Linked DNA regions of Oryctolagus cuniculus. The protein of the gene in region 2 purifies or fractionates together with the protein of the main gene of each other region. This does not show direct contact. Links are inferred from orthologs where the notes say so. Each region holds a gene or a part of one and is shown on either strand. Other genes may lie near its edges.

Region 1 (9,891 bases), on a different chromosome or scaffold from region 2:
CCCTACAACTGGTTTACACATTACCCACCCGCCACTGCCCTCTACAAACCAGGAGAACCTCCAGGACAGGACTCTCATCTGTTCATTTCTGAATCCCTGGAAGTACCAAGCGCTGACCTGGCATTCCTGCTTGATGAGTGAGCAGAAGGAACCTGACTATAAATAATTACCTTAAAAGAATTACACTTCCAACTGTAATGTGTACAATTTTTATTTTTTATTTATTTGACAGATAGAGTTAGACAGTGAAAGAGAAAGACAGAGAGAAAGGTCTTCCTTCTGTTGGTTCACCCCCCAAAATGGCCGCTATGACTGGTGCTATGCTGATCCAAAGCCAGGAGCCAGGTGCTTCTCCTGGTCTCCCATGCGGGTGCAGGGCCCAAGCACTTGGGCCATCCTCCACTGCCCTCCCAGGCCACAGCAGAGAGCTGGACTGGAAGAGGAGCAACCAGGACTAGAACCCGGCCTATATGGGATGCCGGCACTGCAGGCAGAGGATTAACCAAGTGAGCCACGGCGCTGGCCCAATGTGTACAATTTTAAATCAGAGACTGAAAACAACTTTAGCTAACTATTGTCATATATGCCCCACATTAAAGTATAGTATTTAAATTCCAATGAGGTTTCTATCAAGTTGATATCTGAGAATTACACTAAGTTCTACAAGACTAACCTTTTAATACTTATAATCCAGGGAGGCAAACAGGGAGCTAATCAGCACAGTTTAAAAGAGGTGGGTGGGGATGGAAGGAGTTATGAGAATGCCAAAGATCTGTGTCTTCATCCTCCACTCTGGTAGGTGCCAAGGAGACAACATTCTAACCTTCCATCTATTTAGAACTGAAAAGCGGGTCTGGTCATGTGCACAATTACTTTCAACAATCAACATGGTGTGTTCAATATACCACCCAAGTGATGAAAACGAATTGTTTTTTTCTTTCTCTGAGCAAGGCTCTGCTTAAAGTCCTATATAGGTTTCTCAACCTATATAGGCTAACTTTTTTAAAATCGAGACATTTTTTTTAAAAGTGGGCATTCTCTACATGTATGTCTCACCAACTTACCAGGCCAAATAAGAAATCCTCCAAATGCCTGGGTTAAGCCTTTCAGCCATAAAGTCTTTTCTAACAGAGCATCAAAGTCCATGGATGGCCGGTTCTGAAGCAGAACAGCAACTATTAGGGGCCATGGGCTCAGAACTAGGTTTTCAATTTGCAGAAGCTGCATTTTGTAGGCAACTTCAGTGACAAAGGCATGCATGTCCTCGGATTGCTTCTGAGGAATATACCTAAAATGAAGAACACACAACATCAAATTACAGATCCGCTTCTTAGACAACTGGAAATGAGAAGTACAATAGGAGAAGACAGGCCTTTAGAAGCCAAATACTTTCTGACAACTGAATTCTTTCAGGTCACCTGTAAGCATATATCTCTAGGGTATGCTGTTGAGGAAATATTAAATTATTCAAGGAAATAGGATCCTATTAATTCCCAGTTCCAGACCAAAAAAAAAAAAAAAAACTATATTGCTTTATAATAGAAACCATCTCAGAAAACTAATACTTCCCCAGTAGGATGAACTGCCATCTTTCCAGAATCCAACACTTTGAGCCATCATGCTGCCCTACCCTGCAAAGCATCAGAGCACATGTCAAGCACTACTGTGCTCCTCTTCTAACAGCTTCTTCAGGCATGGTTCACCAAACTGTGAAGTATCTGACAAGGCCTACACAGAGTTAGCTGGAGCAGGGAGACACATGTGACCTAAAAGCAGCCACATAATAAGGTGGCTTAACGTGAAAGTTGTAGCCAGTAAGAGTGGCCAACCCAATTTGAGATCTACAGAGAAAAAGCCTATGAGAGCAAAAAGCTAACACCTGCTTCTGAGAAGACAAATACACCTCCTGGTGAGGTCTTTTAGATCTGTGCTGATACTACAGGGAACAATGCTACAGTCAAATAAGGCCTAACTAGGTACATGGTTTGTTTTCCCTACTTCTCCAGGAGTACGTCTCTAAATTAAGAAAGCCCAAATGTGTATCTATACTTACATTCTGAAAGAACCTAATACATTTTCTTGTCCATAAAACCATAATCTTATTGAGAAGAGGGACTCACATGCATTGTTATGTAATCTTTTCTAGGATCAAAAATAATACTTAGTACATAGTTTGGCTGGCCTAGCAATATGGCTCAACAATACTCATACATATACTTGTTAATAACAGCATTATTCTTCCCTCAAGTTAGTGTCCTAAAGAACAATCATTGTCTCACTTCCTACATTTGACATACATATCTCCACAGCTAGCCATTTTTTCTGGCAAACACATAATTCTTTTTTAATTGAAGCTTTCCATGGATGAAAATGGAATGACAATGCTTCCGTGATAATTTGCTATATGATCTAAGGAAACCAAGTTTCAGTCTTAGAAGTGGTCAACGGAAAAATAACAATTCATACGTTTAGATTTTAGTCCTTCCTGCTGCATCAGATATTAAAACATAGGCCTTGTACCTTGGAACCAAGTTATATGGGCTCCTACTCATCCTCCCAGAGGCCAGAGATCGAAGTGACACAGGGTCCCCAAAGTACACATAGATGCTTCCAAAATTCTCAGACAGAATCCTTCTGGCTTTCAAGAGTCCCTAACATAGTAACACAATAAGGGAGAAGAACAAAAAACAGAGTAAATTCAGAAAGTAGTTGATGTGTAAGTTAGCACATTTTCTAAATTCACATAAAATCAAGTTTGGTTATGTTTTACGTACAGTTGTAGATTCTTTTGGCTTAGGAACCCCTAGAAGCTCATATGCATAAAGAGTTTCTTCTAATATCTTATCATAACTGATGCTAATTGGAACAAGGTAGGTATCAAAAACTTCTCTTTTGAAAAATGGTTCCATCACAATACTCAGAAGACCTTTAAACATGGAGAGAAATGTTTTATATATATTGAGGAGCACAGTACACAAGAGTATACAAACAGGACTAAAGTGTACATTTACACTAAGCCATGAATATAAACAGTTAAACACACTTAGAAATTAAATAATTTCTATAGCCATACAGTGTCAATTTCTATTCAGCAGATATACTTATACTACACCTAAAGTCTTTGGGGTTGTAATTTCTCATCTGTCAGTGACCTACCAAATTTAGGAGTCAATGTTTTGGCAGAGCGGCTTCTTGTCCCTTCGAGGAAAAATTCAACAGGAGCATAACCATTCTTTAAAGAGAAAACACAAACAAACAAAACAAAAAACACAAAACCCATTGCCTACTCTCCAAATGATAAATTCTTCTTTTGACTCCCTTTCCCCAACTCCCTCCCCACCCCTCTGAACAAACACTGCTTATAGTGAAACTTAAATAAGAGAGTCACAGAAACTAAACAGATCACTGAGGTTCTGAACATTCTTTGGGAGGAGGAGGGGAATAGCTAAGTGGCCTATCCAGAAGTTAAGAACTTAGAGCAAATATCAGCGAAGAGAAAATATTTACTTGGTAGTTATTTGCATTTACCCGTAACATAGTTTTTACATATTCAGAGAATACAGCCCAGTAGAGTTTATTGCCACCAAAGGTGCGCCGCATGAAGAAGGCACCTGACATCCTCAATAGCTCACCAATCATTTTCATTCCCAGGAAGTCTAGAAAATAAAGGAAGGATTGACATTTATTTGCAGATCTTGAAACTTTCTATAAAGACCTACACTCAAACACTGTTATGATTTATGTATCTGATATATCCTTATGATATTATACTTTCTAATATTAAAATCCATAAGAAGATACATTTAACAGAATTATGGAAAAGAAGGGACTCTGTGGGCCAGGTGATCATTGGGAGCTTGCCTTGTGCCACCATGTACCATTGCCTTTACAACCAAGCTGGCTAGAGAGCAAGGACAATAGTAGGGCAATGTGACAACTTACAATGTCATGCTGCCAATTTCTTAGCCCTGTTGCTGAGCTGCGTTACAGACCAATGTGTATCTTTCACGCCTTTGAGAGGCAGGCCAAACCAGTTCTCACCTTCCTCACATCAGATAAAAATATCAACCTACTTTTGGTGGAAGAGATTATATAAAGCAAGTCTGAAATGAAGGTAAGAGCACCATTGCTGTTTAAAAACAGCCCTTCTGTTTTTCCTTACTTTTCAAATAAATTCTTTTCTTGTATATTCAGACGAAAGTGCTTAAGTCTCCCACAATTTTTTACCTTCCTATTTACTTCATTTATTAACCAAAATGTATACTTGAATCCTAACCTTCCTGGCTACCTTAAAAGTGAATTGTTAATTTATTTGCCTTAGCAGTTCAACTTGTAGGAATCAATCCTACAGAAATAAAAGCATTAAAACACTGTTTATAATAGCAAAACCACTAAAGTATGATACATTCAGATTGCTAAATATTATGCAATTCTAAATGTAAGATCTACAATTATAAAATGCTTAGAAGAAAAAAGGGAAAAATTTCTTGACATTGGATTTGGCAACAATTGTTTTTAATTTTCATTTCATTAATTAATTTATAAGATTTAACAATTTTTCACATTTTGCCATATTCACTTACTACGTTTACATGAAAACAAATATTTTATCATTTAACATGGGATTTATGACAATAATCATAAAGTGAAAAAAGAAGGGTATATTATTATGTGGAGGATATAATTAAGTGAAGACAATATTTGCGACTATCTATGTACCAAATAATACAATACCCACACATTTATCATAGTTTATATATGTCACCTTCCACAAATGAGAAAGACATATATTTGTCTTTCTGTATCTGGCTTATTTCACTTATTTCACAAGAGTTTCTTGGCTTTTATATCAAAAGCAAAAGGAACAAAAGAACAAATAAACTGGGCTTGCCTCATGGTTAAAATCTTCTGCGTATCAAAGGACACAATCAACAGATTGAAAAGGAACCAAAGGAATGAGAGACAATATTTGCATATCATAAGGGGTAAATATCCAGAATAGGAGTATATAAAGAGTTCCTACAATTCAACAGTAACAAGAAATCAAATAACCCAATTAAAAAATGGGCAATGGACTTGAACAGACTTTTCTCTAAAAAAGGTATACAAATGGTCAATAAGCTCACTGAAAAGATAATCAATAACACTAATCATCAGGGAAATGAAAATAAAAACTTCAATAAAATAGCACTTCATACCCATTAGAATGGTTATTGTTTTTAAAAATCCAAAAAGCAAGTGTTGGCAAACATGTAAAATTGAAACTTTTAAAATAAAAATGGAACTCTTATATATTGTTGATGGGAACATACAATGGTACCACCACCACAGTATGGTAGTTCCTCAAAAAATTAAAAATTAAATATGTGATAAAGCAATTCTATCCCTTGGTATCCATTTGAAAGTAGGATATTTGAAAGTAGGATCTTAAACAGATACGTGTACTTTCATGCTCCAAGCAGTGTTATTTGCAATAGCCAAAAAGCAAAAGCAACCCAACAGTCTACTGATGAATGGAAAAAGAAGGTGGCATATTCATGTAATGGATTATTCAACTTTTTAAAAAGAAATCCTGACACATGCTGCAGCATGGACGGACTTGAGAGCATTATGCTGAGTCAACACCAGTCACAAAAGGACAAATATTTTGTGAGTTCACTTATACGAAGTATAGAATAGCCAAATCCACAAACAGAAAGTAGAAAGGTGGTTGCCTGGGGACAGGGAAGGTAGAATGAGGAGTTGCTGTTTAATGGTCCAGAGTTTCAATTTTTCAAGATGATAAGTTTTGTGAATGGGTGGTGGTAATGACAGTCCAACAATATGAATGTACTTTATGCCAATGAACTGCACACTCACAGATAGTTAAAATGTAAATTTTTATTATGTGCATTTGCTAAATTCTTTATTTTACCATTTAAAAAAATAGTTACATCTATTTATTGATCTACAGATATTCATCAATGTAATATAAAATAAAAAAAGTAGGTAACACATACAGGAAGTTTCATTTTTTAAACCGAAACCAAAAAACCCTGGTGCCTATATGCCTTTATATATCTGTGCAAAGTAAAATACCACACAAAAGCACATAATTCAAACTGTTAAACCCTAGGATTGGAAGGAAGAAGGAGAGTCTATTTTCATCATCATAATCTTCACAGACATCAGTATCAGTAGAATCATTTTATTTTTATTTTTATATACAATACCCACACATTTATCATAGTACAAAAGTAGAAAAGCTACGTACCCATTCCCGCTGCTATAACTGGCACAGGCAAATCATAGTTGTATAAAAGAAATGACAACATGAGAAAGTCAATATAACTTCGATGACTAGGCAGCAAGACAACAGGATGCTCCTGGATGGCTCGTTGTAGCTTGAAAATAAATTTTAGACTTTAAATAATTTCAGTTGTGTTATTAAGATCACATTTCAAATAAGAAAACAGAACAACTCTATGTACAAAGGGAATAATAATCATCTTTATCACCTTACATATCATACACAAACTTAATTGGCTGAGAAGGTAAAAACATTATTTCAGAGTTCTAGTTAAACACTTTCACATATTGCAAGAATATTAAAAATGTAAGTTTTATGGATTAATGATGAAATGAGCACCTTCAGTAATAGGACAGACACCATGTGCTCTCAATACGATGCATTGAGAAGACTACAACATTGCTTCACATTAGATTCACAATCTAATGCAGAGGTAACATAAATCCAAATCAGGGGACACTATGAAATAGTTGGCTTGTTTTTTAAAAAACAAGTATCATGGGGCTGGCACTGTGGCGTAGCAGGTTGGGTCACCACTTGCGAAGCTGGAATCCCATATGTGTGCCAATTCAAGTCCTGGCTGCTCCACTTCTGATCCAGCTCCCTGCTGGTGCACCTGGGAAAGCAGCAGAAGTCCTTGGGCCCCTGTACCCAAACGGGAGACCCAGAGGAGGCTACCAACTTCGGCCTGGCCCAGCTCTGGCTGTTGTGGCCATTTGAGGAGTAAACCAGAAGATGGATGATCTCTATCTCTCCCTCTCTCTGTAACCCTACTTTTCAAACAAATAAAATAAATTAAAAAAAAAAATAATGAAACACAAACAAAAAGACTAAGGAATTGTTCTAAATTAAGAGTTTAAAGAGATAGAGATGCTGAATGTAACGCATGATCGAGGACTTTCTCATCTATGCAGGATATAATTGGGACAACTGCCAAAGTATGAATGAAGTTTGTATTACTAGTACTGCAGCAATATCAATTTATTTTATTATTGCAGCATAAAAGAATATCCTTATCTATAAGAAAACATACAAAAGTATTGGGAAAAGGATAAAGGAAATATTTTTGGGGAATCTAAATTAAGCATATAAATTCTCTGTATTACTTTTGTAATTTTTGTGAGCATCTGACATAAGTTAGGCCATAAAGTTAAGTTAGTGCAAAGTCTGAACTTATAAAGAAAAAACAAACCAACCCTCAGAGAGGCATATCCTATCTGTTCAGAGGGGATCCGTGATGACTAGGCCCCTGGCATTTACTGGCCAAGGCAGACATTTGTGAGTCGACTAAATCATGCGGGGTTTAAGAAGATATTGGTTTTAAACAATCAATACTCACTTTTTGAATACCTTCTTCATTTACACACACCTTTGAGAAAATTTGTTTAAATATTTTGCTCAGGGCAAAAGCAAAAAACCGTATGGCTCCCAGACGCAGTTTGTGGCTCATTTCATCCAAGATCTCACAAACTTCTTCTCGGAGAACATCAACAGATTGAAGTGATTCCATGGAAAGCTATGATAGAAGGGGAAGCAGGGATAAATGTCTTTTAAAGAGGAGGCCATGTCTCTTATATTCAAATAAGTATGACAACAGTTCCAAGTGGACCAATGTGATACAACTCAAAAATGGTGTTTTTTCTATCTTAATTTGATATAATTTACTTTCCAACACAGTAGACAAATGATCCTATTCAGACAAGTTTAAAGGATAGAAACTCAGAGACAATCAGCTTTGTAGTCTAGCATTTTAGAGTAAAGAAAACATCGTTCCATTTGGTTACTAGGTTTACATCCAAACTCTTTAAAATAAGTTGTTGCCTATGATAAGGATTTTAGCAGTTTCTCTCAGTAGATTGCTGCACCACTTTACCTGCTTGCTCCATGCTATTTCAAGGTAATATAAGAGCACAAGCTAAAAGTGACAAATTACACTGAAATAAGCAATTCAGACTTCACCAGAAACAAATTATTGGTATAAAAATTCCTAAACTATCAAAAGGGTAATTATTAAAATGAAACTTTATTTACATAGCATACCACAACTTGTTGTTTTTTAAGATTTATTTATTTGAAAGGCTGAGGGACCGGCATTGTGGTATAGCAGGCAAAGCCACCATCTGCAATGCCAGAATCCCATAAGGGCACCACTTTGTGTCCTGGCAGCTCCATTTCCAATCCAGTTCCCTGCTAATGCTCTGGGAAAGCAATGGAAGAGGTTCTAGTGCTTGGGCACCTATACCCACGAGGGAGACTTAGATGAAGTTCCTGGCTCCTGGGTTCAGCCTGGCCCAGCCCTAGCCATTGCAACCATTTGGGGACTAAAACAGCAGATGGAATACCTCTCTCTCAGTCTGTCTTTCCCTCTCTCTCTGCAACTTTGCCTTTCAAATAAAAATGTTAAAGGGGGGGGGCTGTTGGAGGAACAGGAAAGAGAGATACGTATCATTACATCTGCTAATTCACTCCCCAAATGCTCACAATAGCCAGTGATAGGCAAGGCCAAAGCCAGAAGCCAGGACTGTCATCCTGATCTTCCATGAGTGGCAAAGGCCAATGTACTTGAGCTATCTTCTGCTGCCTCCCCAGGCACATTACCAGGAAGTTGGACCAGAAGCTGAGTAGCTGGGATTTGAATCAGCACTCAGACATGAGATTTGAATCAGCACTCAGAATCACAAGGAGCAGTGTAACTGTACTACAATGCCTGCCCCACCACAACTGTTTGTGTTTTTTTTAAGATTTATTATTTATTTGAACGGTAGAGTTACAGAGAGGCAAAGGCAGAGATAGAGGGAGAGCCAGAGAGAGAAGTCTCCCATCCACTGGTTCACTCCCCAATGGCTGCAACGGCCAGAGCTGAACTGATCTGAAGCTAGGAGCCAGGAGCTTCTTCTGGGTCTCCGATGCAGGTGCAGGGGCCCAAGCACTTGGGCCATCTTCTACTGCTTTCCTAGGCCATAGGAGAGCTGGATTGGAAGTGGAGCAGCCGAGTCTTGAACTGGCACCCATATGGGATGCCAGCACAGCAGATGGCAGACTTTACCCACTACGTCGCAGTGCAGCCCCACCTACCACAGCTTTTTAACTGGGAACAAAATGTTTACTGTATGCCTAGAATTGTCAAGGGTCTGGAGATAAACAAGTCGCAGGTTCAGTTCTCAATGAAGACTAATGTGACTCTTTCCACTTTCTCCTAAACAAGTACTTTGAAAAGGAAGGAAGTCTTTAGGACAGACTCATTCATTCAAAGAATGCTCTGTAGGATGGGATGCTGTAGGCCCAATTACATGCAGTGATGGAGAATCTTTTTTTTTTTTTTTTTTTTTTTTACAGGCAGAGTGGACAGTGAGAGAGAGAGACAGAGAGAGAAAGGTCTTCCTTTGCCGTTGGTTCACCCTGTGATGGAGAATCTTATCTTTTGTCACTGAGGTGACATTCACACCACATAAAATTAATCACTTTAAAGTGGATAATCCAGGGGCAGGCACTGTGGCCCAGCGGGCTAACTCCCTGGCCTCAAGCACCAGCATCCCATATGGGCACAAGTTCTAGTCCCGGCTGCTCCTCTTCTGATCCAGCTCTCTGCTATGGCCTAGAAA
Region 2 (10,575 bases):
CCCCTGGTCGCACCAAGCCAGCATCCTAGGATTGCCCCTCGCCCAGCAAACGCAGGAGGGGACCCGTCTTGCCCACCCGAGGCGGCGGCGAGCCAGAGGGACGCAAACCACGGTGCATCCGGCAGCCGGTGCTCCCGGACAGGGCAGAGTGGTCTGAGTCCGTGCTGGGAGCCGGGGAGACGCACAGGGCTCCCTGTCGGGTCCGCGCCTGCTCGGTGTGTGCGCGGCGCCCTCTGGTGGTTGCCAGGAGGAAGCGCGGGGCCTCGGCGGCCGCGCTGGCCGCTTGGGTCTGGATTTCCAAGCAGAACCTCAGCCAGCCAAGCCTGGCGTTCCTCCAGGGCCCCCGCCGCGCACCTGGCCCAGGGCTCTGGGGACACTGGGAATGGAGCCCCCATCTCAGAGCAGCCCCAGGCCCGAGCTGGGAGGACAGCAGGGCGCAGGACGCTGGCGTCCCAGGCAGCAGAGCCCACTGCACCATCCACCCTCAGCCTGCGTGGCATCCCTCCAACACGGAGAACTCCTATCCCTGTCTGACCCGATCTCCGGCTTCCCAGTGAACTTGGGAGGGGCTGGCCAGCCAAGGGACAGGTGCAGAGGCTGGCTGAGGGCCCGAGGCCCCACATCACCGCCCCCACCGCAGCCAAACTTCACCCCAAGTCCCTGCTCCCCAAGTTCCCTCCAGCATCTGTGCAGCTGCGGCGGGCCCCCTGGTCCTGGGGACCCACAGTACCCTTCAGGGCCGAAGTGGACGCTTGCCCCGGCCCAGCCGGTGGCCCCTGCAGGGGACTCGGGGGCACCAGGTCTCAGAGCGCCACAGCCACGTGTCCAGGAAGCCTGTTGGGGGGCCAGCACCGGGCAGGAAATCCACCCCGTGTGTGGGGGGCGTCTGTGCTTGGCAGGAAGTTCCTCCCATGTGTGGGAGTGGGGGAGGGGTCTGAGCCTGGCAGGAAGTCCCCCACCATCCCCAGCAGGAGTGGGGGGCCTGGGCTCCAAGGGTGGTCACTGTCCCTCCCTCCAGGGACCAGAGGGCCCAACACAGTCCTCCTACCCGCCCCAGCCTGGGATCCCCAACCCCCACAGCCTGGGGCAGCTGGGGGCAGACAAAGCCACAGTGCACGGGTGGGGTCAGTCTTTATTGGGGGACGAGGCTGCCACCCTGCGGGCAGCTGAGGCCCCACAGCTGTCCTGTGCCCTCAGAAGCCAGGAATAAAAATGGAAGCGCAGGGCGTGGCCAGACAGGCTGGAGGCCGGGCCTCCTGTGACCTTCCTCAAAGGGCAGGGTCCCCCCCCCCACAAGGGGCCTGGAGGGCAGGTGTAAGGGTGTGGCCTTCAGCCCTGGGCGGAGCCTTGGAGCAGGCAGGTGTAGGGGTGTGGCCTCCAGCCCTGGGCGGAGCCTTGGTGGGCAGGGCTCAGCTCCTCGCAGCTGCACCCCAACCCGGAGCGGCCGGCTCAGCTGGCGTTCCTCTGTCGGACATTCTTGCCCTTGTCGTCATTCACGTGGTGCCCGCTGCTTTTCCTGGAGACACAGGGCCCAGCTGAGCTCTGACGACAGGGAGCCTGCAGCCTGGTCCCCCATGTGGCCAAAGCCCCCCCCAACCCCCACAGGGCCTGCAGCCTGGGCCCCCTGAGTGGCCAAAGCCCCCCCCCCAACTCCCACAGGGCCTGCAGCCTGGGCCCCCTGAGTGGCCAAAGCCCCCCCCCAACTCCCACAGGGCCCAGCTGAGCTCTGACGACAGGGAGCCTGCAGCCTGGCCCCCCATGTGGCCAAAGCCCCCCCCAACCCCCACAGGGCCTGCAGCCTGGCCCCCTGAGTGGCCAAAGCCCCCCCCCCCCAACTCCCACAGGGCCCAGCTGAGCTCTGAGGACAGGGAGCCTGCAGCGTGCCCCCCCCACAGCGGGACTCACAGTGGCGCGGCACCGGCGTCCTCGTCTGAGCACCACAGCCACGTGGAAGAGAAGGGCAGGGTCAGGGGTCAGTGCTGCCCCCCCTTCCCCGTCCCCACCCCCTCCCTCTCCTGGGCACACCCAGGCCCTGCAGAGCAGTTGAGGGGCGGCTGGGCCTGAGCCGCGGGCGTGGCGCCCCCTGGGGGTCACTCACCGTCCAGCACCTCATCCGGCTTCCGCCGCTTCTCGTAGATGAAGATGACGGTGACCAGCACCAGCACCTCGGCCACGATGCCCAGGAAGGGCCAGAGGGCGGCCAGGCGGCTGCGCACGCGCAGGGTGACCACCGCCGCGTCCGTGCCCTGCAGGCTGGTGCCGTTGCAGGCGTACTCGCCGGGGTCGGAGGTCAGGTCCAGGTCCTTGATGTGCAGCTCCGACTGGGCCTCCGAGTGGCTGATGAAGAACCTGCTCTGGGAGCCGTTCTGGATGACCTGGGGGCAGGAGGCAGGGGGAGGCTGAGGCCGGCCCCACAGGGCGCCCCGTGGGCCCCCCACCGCCCCCTGGCCTGCCCCGCGCCCTCACCTGGTCCCCGGAGTCGGCCACCTTGTACCAGACCCAGGCGGTCACGAAGGGGAAGGACTCCGACTTGCACAGCAGGGTGACCGAGTCGCCCTCGTTGGCGTGCTCCGACTTCTTCACAGCCTTAATTCTGGGGGGCCCTGGGGGGAGCCAGAGGGAGCCTCGCACCCCAGGCGCGGCAGGAGCCCCACCCGAGGCCCCCAGCATGACCCCCGCTCACCGTCCACGGTCAGCGTGGCCTCGCCCGTGTCCTTGGGGAGGAAGAGGCAGGAGTACTTGCCAAACCTGTCGTCCCCGGTCACGCTGCGACAAGACAAGCGGCTGTGAGCCTGGGCCCGTGGAGGGGCTCGTGCAGGACCCCGGGCTGCCCCCCGGAGGAGGGTCCGGGCTGAGACCTGGCCCCCTGCCCCAGCCCCCGGGAGGGAGGAGGAGGGTCCGGGCTGAGACCCGGCCCCCTGCCCCAGCCCCCGGGAGGGAGGAGGAGGGTCCGGGCTGAGACCCGGCCCCCTGCCCCAGCCCCCGGGAGGGAGGAGGAGGGTCCGGGCTGAGACCCGGCCCCCTGCCCCCTGCCCCAGCCCCCGGGAGGGAGGAGGAGGGTCCGCCTGGGCGGCCCCGGCCCCGGCCCCCGCACTCACTTGTGCTCGGTGTGCAGGCCCTGCAGCTGGTCCTCCTTCACCACTTCCTTCCCTTTCAGCCAGCGGTGCCCAGTGACGCCCGCGGCGCTGGTGTTCAAGGTACAGGTGAGCTGCACCCAGGAATCCCCGCTCTGCACAGAAGTCGTCACGGTGCCCGCTGGGAGACCACGGCGAGAGGTCAGCAAGGGGCAGGAGAGGAGGGGTCGGCCCTCCGCCACGCCGAGGCCTGGCTCAGAGGGTGCCCTCCGGAGGGCCCTTGTGCACGGGGGTGTGGCCCAGGCATCAGCTCCCGGCTAGGCTAGGCTAGGAGCAGCCCTGCAGCACGCCCACACCTCCCGCCCCGCCCCGCTCTACCCCAGGCTCGACACAGCGGCCTCACGGTCAGCTGAGCACGTTCCCATGGGAGGTCCGGAGAGCCTTGAACCTGGGCTGACCCAGGGAGCAGACCCAGCCCCACCGACCAGGACAAGAGCCAGACAGGCGCCCACGGAGGGAGGGAGCACGGATGGAGCGGGTCGGAGCGATGGACGCATGGGCGGACAGGACGGGGGCGAGGGGCCCACCCGCATCCAGGCCAGAGACTGCTCAGGTGGGTGGGAGGGACAGAACCGGGCAGGAGAGGGCCTGGGCTCTACTGGGTGGGAGCCGATGGCACAAGAGGGACACTGAGGCAGGTCTCTGCCACTCACGTTCCAGGACCGCCAGGCTGGCCTGGGCACGGACCCACTTGACCCTGGGCGGCCGGGTCAGGTGGTTGCGGTCGGGGTCGTTGCTGGCCCGGCACTCGTAGGTGCCCGCGTCCTCGGCGCTGAGCTGGGCGATGGACACGGTGCTGGCCGCGTGCTCGCGGTAGGCAGCGTGGATGTGCACGCGGCCCTGCCGGGCGCCGTCCCAGAGCTGGGAGCTGCCGTCGCCGGGGCCGTCCCCTTCAAACCACCACTGGATCTCGGGGACCGGGCGGCCCACGGCCTCACAGTGCAGCTCCACGCTGCCCCCCGCCCGCCCCTCCTGCGACAGTGGGGGCCGCACAAAGCCAGCTACGGGGAGAGGGCGAGAGCGTGAGGCCCCCACGGCAGAACAGGAGCGGGCTGCCCCCACGGAAGGCAGGGCAGGGGGAGCACACGCATGTCCAGCTAGGGCTGAGCCCCTAAGGTCACGGGACGGGCGCTGGGCTCTGCGAACAAGGCAGCTGTGGGGACAGTGAGGGGCGCAGGGCCCTCTTGGCACGGACACCCGGGCCATCATCGGCTTCCTTATTTGAACACAACAGAGGGTCCTGGACACTGCCTAGGCGGACAGGGGCGGGCAGGGGCTCCCGTCCACCCTCCCCTGGGTCCTGACGCTCCGGCCCCAGGTGCCCTGGGGACGAGGCACCTGCCTCCCTGGCCCGCCTGGAGGCCGCTGGACCAGCCCAGGTGGCCTCCAGCAGAAGGACCCCTAGCTGCAAATCCCACAGCCCTGGCAGAGCTGAGTCAGGCAGGAAGTGAAGCCGAGGTGCCCCCCGAACACCCCGGCCGCCTGCAGGTACCGGGAGAGGCCGTACTAGCCTGGCCGCAGCTGTCCCAGCCCCGGTGTCCAAGGTGGGGAACCGGCCGCCCCTCCACAGGTCTGCACCACCTGGCGCTCCCCAAGGGACAGACGCAGCCTCCGACAAGAGCAGCTGGACGTCAGGGGGACACTGGTGGCCCAGCTCCCTGGGGTGAGGCCCCTGGCCGCCCCAGTCCACGCCACATCCAGCCCCAGGGTCAGTCTCAGAAAAGCCACAGCTCCACTCGGCCCACGTGATCTGCAACTCAGGTTCAAGTCACCTTCACTAGAGAGCGGCCAGGCGGGCAGGGGGCCAGGCGCGGCCTCGGTAAACAAGCCCAGCCTAAGGCGGGGCCGCTCGGGAGGGAAGGGCCCCACCCGCTGGGGGCCTCGCCTCTGCCGCCCCACCCTCAGCCAAGCCTCCCCCGGAGGCCAGAGGTTAAGCGTTTGCTCGGGGCGGGCCAGAGTGCGGCCCTCCTGGGCTAACCCCCGCGGGGGCCCGCGGCTGTGCGCCTGGAGAACAGAGCTGGCCAGGCCCCGACCCGGGGGGACAGGAGGTGGCCAACCCAGCGCGGCCAGGCCCCGCACAGAGAGCAGAAGCGTGCACGGGCAAGACCCGAACACCCATATAAGGCGCCCGGGAGCCAAGTCGGAAGCAACACCCCACCACGCACCGTGCGCCCACGCACACCGCCGCTCCGCGCAGGGCTGAGATCCCGCACGGCCCCCGGCCCCGGGGTACGGTCGACTAAGCCCGGCAGGGCCAGAGCGCGCTCCGCGGGGGCCCCGCAGGAAACCCGGCGCCGCCTGGGGCTCCCTCGCGCCCCCCGCGCTCGGTCGAGGCCGGGGACCGGGAAGAGGAAGCCGCCGAAGTGGGTCAGCAGCGGCCCGGGAGCTCCCGGCCGGGCCCTGGGGCTCCACGCGGGGCTCCCCCCAGCGGCCTGGGCGACCTCGCGGTGACCTTGGAGACCCACCCCCAACAGGCAGAGGAGGAGGGGGCCCGCACGCCCGCGCAGACCCCGCAAACGCGGGCGCGCCGCCGGCCAAATCCCCGCAGGAATGATAATCCCGGGGCCCAGCCTGCCCGGGCAGCGGCCGCGGACTGCAGCCGAGGGCCACGAGCGGCGTCCCACGCGGGGGTCAGCCCCGGCCGCGTGCACCGTGGAGGGGGACGGCGGCCCCCGAGACCCGGGGCCCTGCTCTGCAGGGTGGCCGCCCTCCCGACGAGGGCCCGGGCCGGGACCCCCGGGGCGGCGGCGGCTCGTAGCCCCCCCGCCCCGGCTCGTAGCCCCCGCCCGCAGCCCCCGAGCGGCGCCCACCTGCCGCAGAGGCGCCCCCGGCGCGCAGCAGCGCGAGCGCCAGCAGCGCGAACAGCACAGCCGCCATGTCCCCGCCGTCCGCCGTCCACCGAGCGCCGTGCCCGCTGCCGGCTACGGCCCCTATAAGACCGGCCGGGCGCGCGTGCCGGGCGCGCGCACGCAGGGCGGTGCCCCGGGGGCGGGGCGCGCACGGTGGTGGTGGTGGGGGCTACGGGCGCTCCGCGCACGCGCACACACGCACGTACGCGGGCGCCGGACAGGCGGGCGGAGGCTGCGGAGGCCGGGGCGGGCCACGTGACTCCGGGCGGGCCACGGGACCCCGGGGGCGGCGCGGCGTAGCGGGGACCCCGGGCAGGGCTCGGGGGCTAGGGTGCGCGCTCAGACGCGCACGTTCCTGCCGCACCCCTGCTGGGGACGGCGCTGGGACCCCCCACGACCCAGACGAGGGCCGCAGGCCGCGCGCGCGCCCAGGTGCCGTGGAGTCGGGGTGGAAGTTAGGCGTCGGCGCATGCGTGCGAGCGCGGCCTGGGGAGGGCCAGGAGTCGGGGAAGCGCCCCGAGTTTTACCCCGCGGGATCCCGCCCAGGCCCAGTACTGGACAGGAGGCCGTCCTGTGCCCGGGGTTGCGTGGGCTCCCCGCGGGACAGCGCTGAGCCGGGGAACCTGGGGCGGGTGCCCCCTCCGTCACTCCTGCACCCCTCCCCTGGGGCGGATGCCCCCTCTGTCACTCCTACACCCCTCCCCTGGGGCGGGTGCCCCCTCTGTCACTCCTGCACCCCTCCCCTGGGGCGGATGCCTCCTCCATCACTCCTGCACCCCTCCCCTGGGGCGGGTGCCCCCTCTGTCACTCCTGCACCCCTCCCCTGGGGCGGATGCCTCCTCCATCACTCCTGCACCCCTCCCCTGGGGCGGATGCCCCCTCCATCACTCCTGCACCCCTCCCCTGGGGCGGGTGCCTCCTCCATCACTCTTGGACCCCTCACCTGGGGCGGATGCCTCCTTCGTCACTCCTGCACCCCTCACCTGTGGCTGAGGAGGGAGGAGCGCCGCACAGTCCGCAGTCTGGGTGCAGATGAGCTGCGGTCCCTGTGTAGCCGCACGGCATTGGCTTCCCTGGGTGGGTGGCGGGCGCGGGTCCACCCGTTCCTCCCCTGGGCTGCCTGCCCCTTCTGCTGCTGCCTGGCCGGCCACGCCTCTGCCTTCAGGATTCTTCCTCGGCTAAGAGAACGGGTTCCCCCATCCCCGCCAGCAGGTACACCCGGAAAGCGCTCGCTTTCTGCTGTTTCAGTTGTATTTTATTTATTTGAAAGTGGCAGGGGTGGAGTGAGGATGGGCCAGAGCAGGGGCCCGGGAGCTCCATCCGGGCATGGGCGCCGCGTGGTGGGTGAGCAGGAAGCGGGGTGTGCCCCAGGCACGCCGACCTGGGCTGTGGCGTCCCCTCACTCCATGCCACTGCCATCAGCCCTGTGTGACAGCCCAGGTCCCCGGGGGCCCTGCCTCGCACGCGGGAGACCGGGATTGGGCTCCCGCCTGGCCCAGGCTGTGGCAGGTATCTGGGGAGTGAAGCAGCGGATGGAAGATTTCTCTGTGTCACTCAGCCTTTCAAATAAATCAGTAAAACCTGTGCGAAGTCTACGAAGGCTCTGAACAGGCGTCCTCAGCCAGTCAGCAGGTCTGACCAGCGGGGGGCAGGGCGGGCTGGGCCTTTGCACCCTGCCGCTGGGGACACGAAGTGGTGCCTGGAAGAGCAGAGCCACTGCTTAACCCTGGGGTCACAGGCCATCGACAGGAACAGGGCCATGCATACCATGCACCGGGAGGCTCTGGCCCGGGACAGTGTGGCGGTGTTAGGCAGCCTCTGTGTGTAGGGACAGCCTGGAGACCAGCACCTTGCACTTCGAAGCCCTGCTCGGACCCTGCTCGGACTCCCAGCCCTTCCCCCAGGAGACTCCTCTCTCAGGACCACAGGGGTTACCTGACCTGATAACACGGGGCAATAAAACCTTCTCAGACGCCCCAAGGGAAGTCCCTCTGCCTTGCCTGGCCCCAGCAAATCTGGTGAGGAATTTGCTAGTTTTCACCCAACAAACCCTTCCACCAGGGTTCTCCTTTGTCCTTTGTCCTGGAGGAGAGGGGAGGTGGGTAAACAGACTTCCTTAAGCACCTCGGGAGCCCTCTGCCTCTCTGCTGAGCCGCCCGCCCGCCTGGGCTGCCCAGGTGTGTTCACTCAACCACGGAACCTCACTCTCCCCCGGTCCCAGCGACTGGGCGCGCGCGCTGTCTGTCCCCAGTGTTCTGACGGGTGCCCTGTCCCCAGTAAAGCCTCAGCACTCCGCTCTCTGTCTCACGCCTGAATTCTTTCTTGCGTGAAGACGAGAACCCACGGCTTCCACAGCCTTTCCTGCAGTAACCGAGGGGCCCGAGGACGCCACGGCCATGCCGTGGAGACACAGACACAGGGGCTCCAATGACGGGACCTCACAGGGACGGGAGGGGGATTCGCGGTTAGCCAGGGCCGACTGACTGCTCCTGGAGATGGGGCTGCTCTTTGGGGGAAAGTGTGGGCACCAGTGAGTCTCCAGGGAACACTGGGGGATGTGAGTGACCGGGGCAGGGGCTCCCGTGTGGCTCTGTGCTGGGGACGGCACCTGGGCTGACACAGGAGAGGCCACAGGCAGGGGTGGATGGAGCCCGGGGTGCCCAAGGCTGCGCAGAGGGCCTTGGACAGAAGGCGGAGGCCAGAGGAGCCGCTGGCAGGGGCAGCAGCGAGCAGGGGCCTGGAGTGTCCCAGCCGCCCCTGGAGGCCTGCAGGGAGCCAGTGGCTACGTGCAGGACATGAGGCCAGGAGGCTGCACAAACAATGGCGGGTAGGGCGGAATTCCTGCCCCCTGCTGGCCCTCCCAGAGCCCCTGAGCACTCCAGGGCTGCCCGGAAGCCTTGGCCTTTGTTCCCAGAACCGGGGCAGCAGCTGCTTTGTCTGAGACCCAGTTTTCTGGCCTCCTCCCTGGAGGCCCTGCCCACCCCGCCAGCCCCGCCAGCCCCGGCCAGCCCCCAGGTCCACTCTCCGCAGCCCTGGCCCTCTGCTTCCTGGAGCTGCTCCCAGGTCACCTGACTTCGCTGGTGCGAGGCAATTTCAGGTTTTAAAGAGCTAGGTGAGGGCAGGCTCTCTGGAAGTGGGCTCACATCCCGCATCTGTGCCAGTGCCGGCTGCTCCACGTCCGATCCAGCTCCCTGCTGACGGCCTGGGGACGCAGCAGAAGGCGGCCCTGGCCCGAAGTGGGAGGCCCGGATGGAGTCCCGGCTCCTGGGCTCCACCTGGCCCAGCCTCAGGTGTCGTAGCCATCTGGGGAGTGAACCAGAGCGTGGCAGACCTACCTGCCTCTCTCTCTCTCTCCCCCTCCTCCACCTCTATCGCTCTGCCCTTCGAATATACGAAATGCATAGCATTACAGAAAAGAGAGATGTTACTTGGAGCAGCATTTGGTCCAGTGCTTACGCTGTCTCCTGTGCCCCCACCCCAGCGAGTCCCAGCTCTGCTGCTCCAGCCGCTCCTAACACAGTCCAAGGAAGCAGATCCTGCGCCCTCACGGGGACCAGGCTGGAGCCCCCAGATCCCAGCAGGCAGCAGATGGAAGATTTTTCTCTGTCTCTTTCAAGTAAAATGAAATACATAAGTAAACATTGTGTTTTAAAGATTGGTTTATTTGTTTTGAAAGAGTTACAGAGAGACCAGAGAGATCTTGTATCCACTAGTTTCCTGCCCAGATGGCTGCCATGGCCCGGGAGCTCCATCCAGGTCTCCTGTGTGGGTGCAGGGGCCCAAGGACTTGGGCGACCGTCTGCTGCTTCCCCAGGGATGTTAGAAGGGAGCTGGATCGGAGGAGGAGCCAGGACTCGAACCAGTGTCCTCATGGGATGCCCGTGCTGCAGGAACTGGCTTTACCTGCCATGCTACAATTTTTTTTTTTAAGATTTATTTATTCATTTGAAAGAGTTACACACACACACACAGAGAGAGAGAGAGAGAGAGAGAGAGAGAGAGAGAGAGGTCTTCCATCTGCTGGTTCACTCTCCAACTGGCCACAACGGCCGGAGCGGCACCGATCCGAAGCCAGGAGCTTCCTCCGGGTCTCCCCCACGGGCGCAGGGGCCCAGGGACTTGGATCATCTTCCACTGCTTTCCCAGGCCATAGCAGAGAGCTGGATCGGAACTGGAGCAGCCGGGACTTGAAGGGGCACCCATATGGGATGCCGGCACTGGCACTGCAGGAGGCAGCTTTAAGGGCTAGGCCACAGCACTGAAAAGAGAAACTTCTTTACAAAGCAAAGAGCGGGCCCACTTTTTAGTATACAATGTATTCTTTGGTATTTGGGACAAGGCTACTGTACAATTTCCTGCTACACAGTTAGAACCCAGGATACGTGTTGGAGAGGCAGTGTCTGGGGTGGCAGGGGGCAGCAGTCAGCCGTGCAGCCAGGGCCTTCCCCCGAGTCTGGGGTCTCCAGCCCTAAGCCCAGTCGGGCGGCGCCGGTCTCTCCCCCCCTAGCATCCGGGTCTTCCTGGAGCTCCGGTGTGTGGGGGGAGAGGCCAGGCCATGCCCTCCCCGCTGCCCCCCAGGCCCGCAGCCCAGC

What was found.
Region 1: the proteins of BSG (region 2) and GNPAT purify together in Homo sapiens (affinity purification with mass spectrometry; 3 studies listed by BioGRID and IntAct, counting the BioPlex papers as one, with this or other methods). This does not show direct contact. The link is inferred for Oryctolagus cuniculus from reciprocal best matches to the Homo sapiens genes BSG and GNPAT.

Annotation. Positions count from the first base shown.
Region 1 is NC_091444.1:50,819,503-50,829,393, reverse strand, and holds part of GNPAT (dihydroxyacetone phosphate acyltransferase), read right to left. Parts: intron 7,806-9,891; coding exon 7,629-7,805; intron 6,384-7,628; coding exon 6,254-6,383; intron 3,657-6,253; coding exon 3,529-3,656; intron 3,233-3,528; coding exon 3,157-3,232; intron 2,927-3,156; coding exon 2,775-2,926; intron 2,652-2,774; coding exon 2,521-2,651; intron 1,289-2,520; coding exon 1,065-1,288; intron 1-1,064. UniProt on the Homo sapiens protein: Dihydroxyacetonephosphate acyltransferase catalyzing the first step in the biosynthesis of plasmalogens, a subset of phospholipids that differ from other glycerolipids by having an alkyl chain attached through a vinyl ether linkage at the sn-1 position of the glycerol backbone, and which unique physical properties have an impact on various aspects of cell signaling and membrane biology.
Region 2 is NC_091447.1:58,337,475-58,348,049, reverse strand, and holds BSG (basigin precursor), read right to left. Parts: upstream 6,025-10,575; 5' UTR 6,012-6,024; coding exon 5,945-6,011; intron 4,136-5,944; coding exon of another isoform or gene 3,788-4,135; intron 3,256-3,787; coding exon 3,099-3,255; intron 2,767-3,098; coding exon 2,684-2,766; intron 2,604-2,683; coding exon 2,467-2,603; intron 2,376-2,466; coding exon 2,099-2,375; intron 1,931-2,098; coding exon 1,906-1,930; intron 1,517-1,905; coding exon 1,450-1,516; 3' UTR 1,116-1,449; downstream 1-1,115.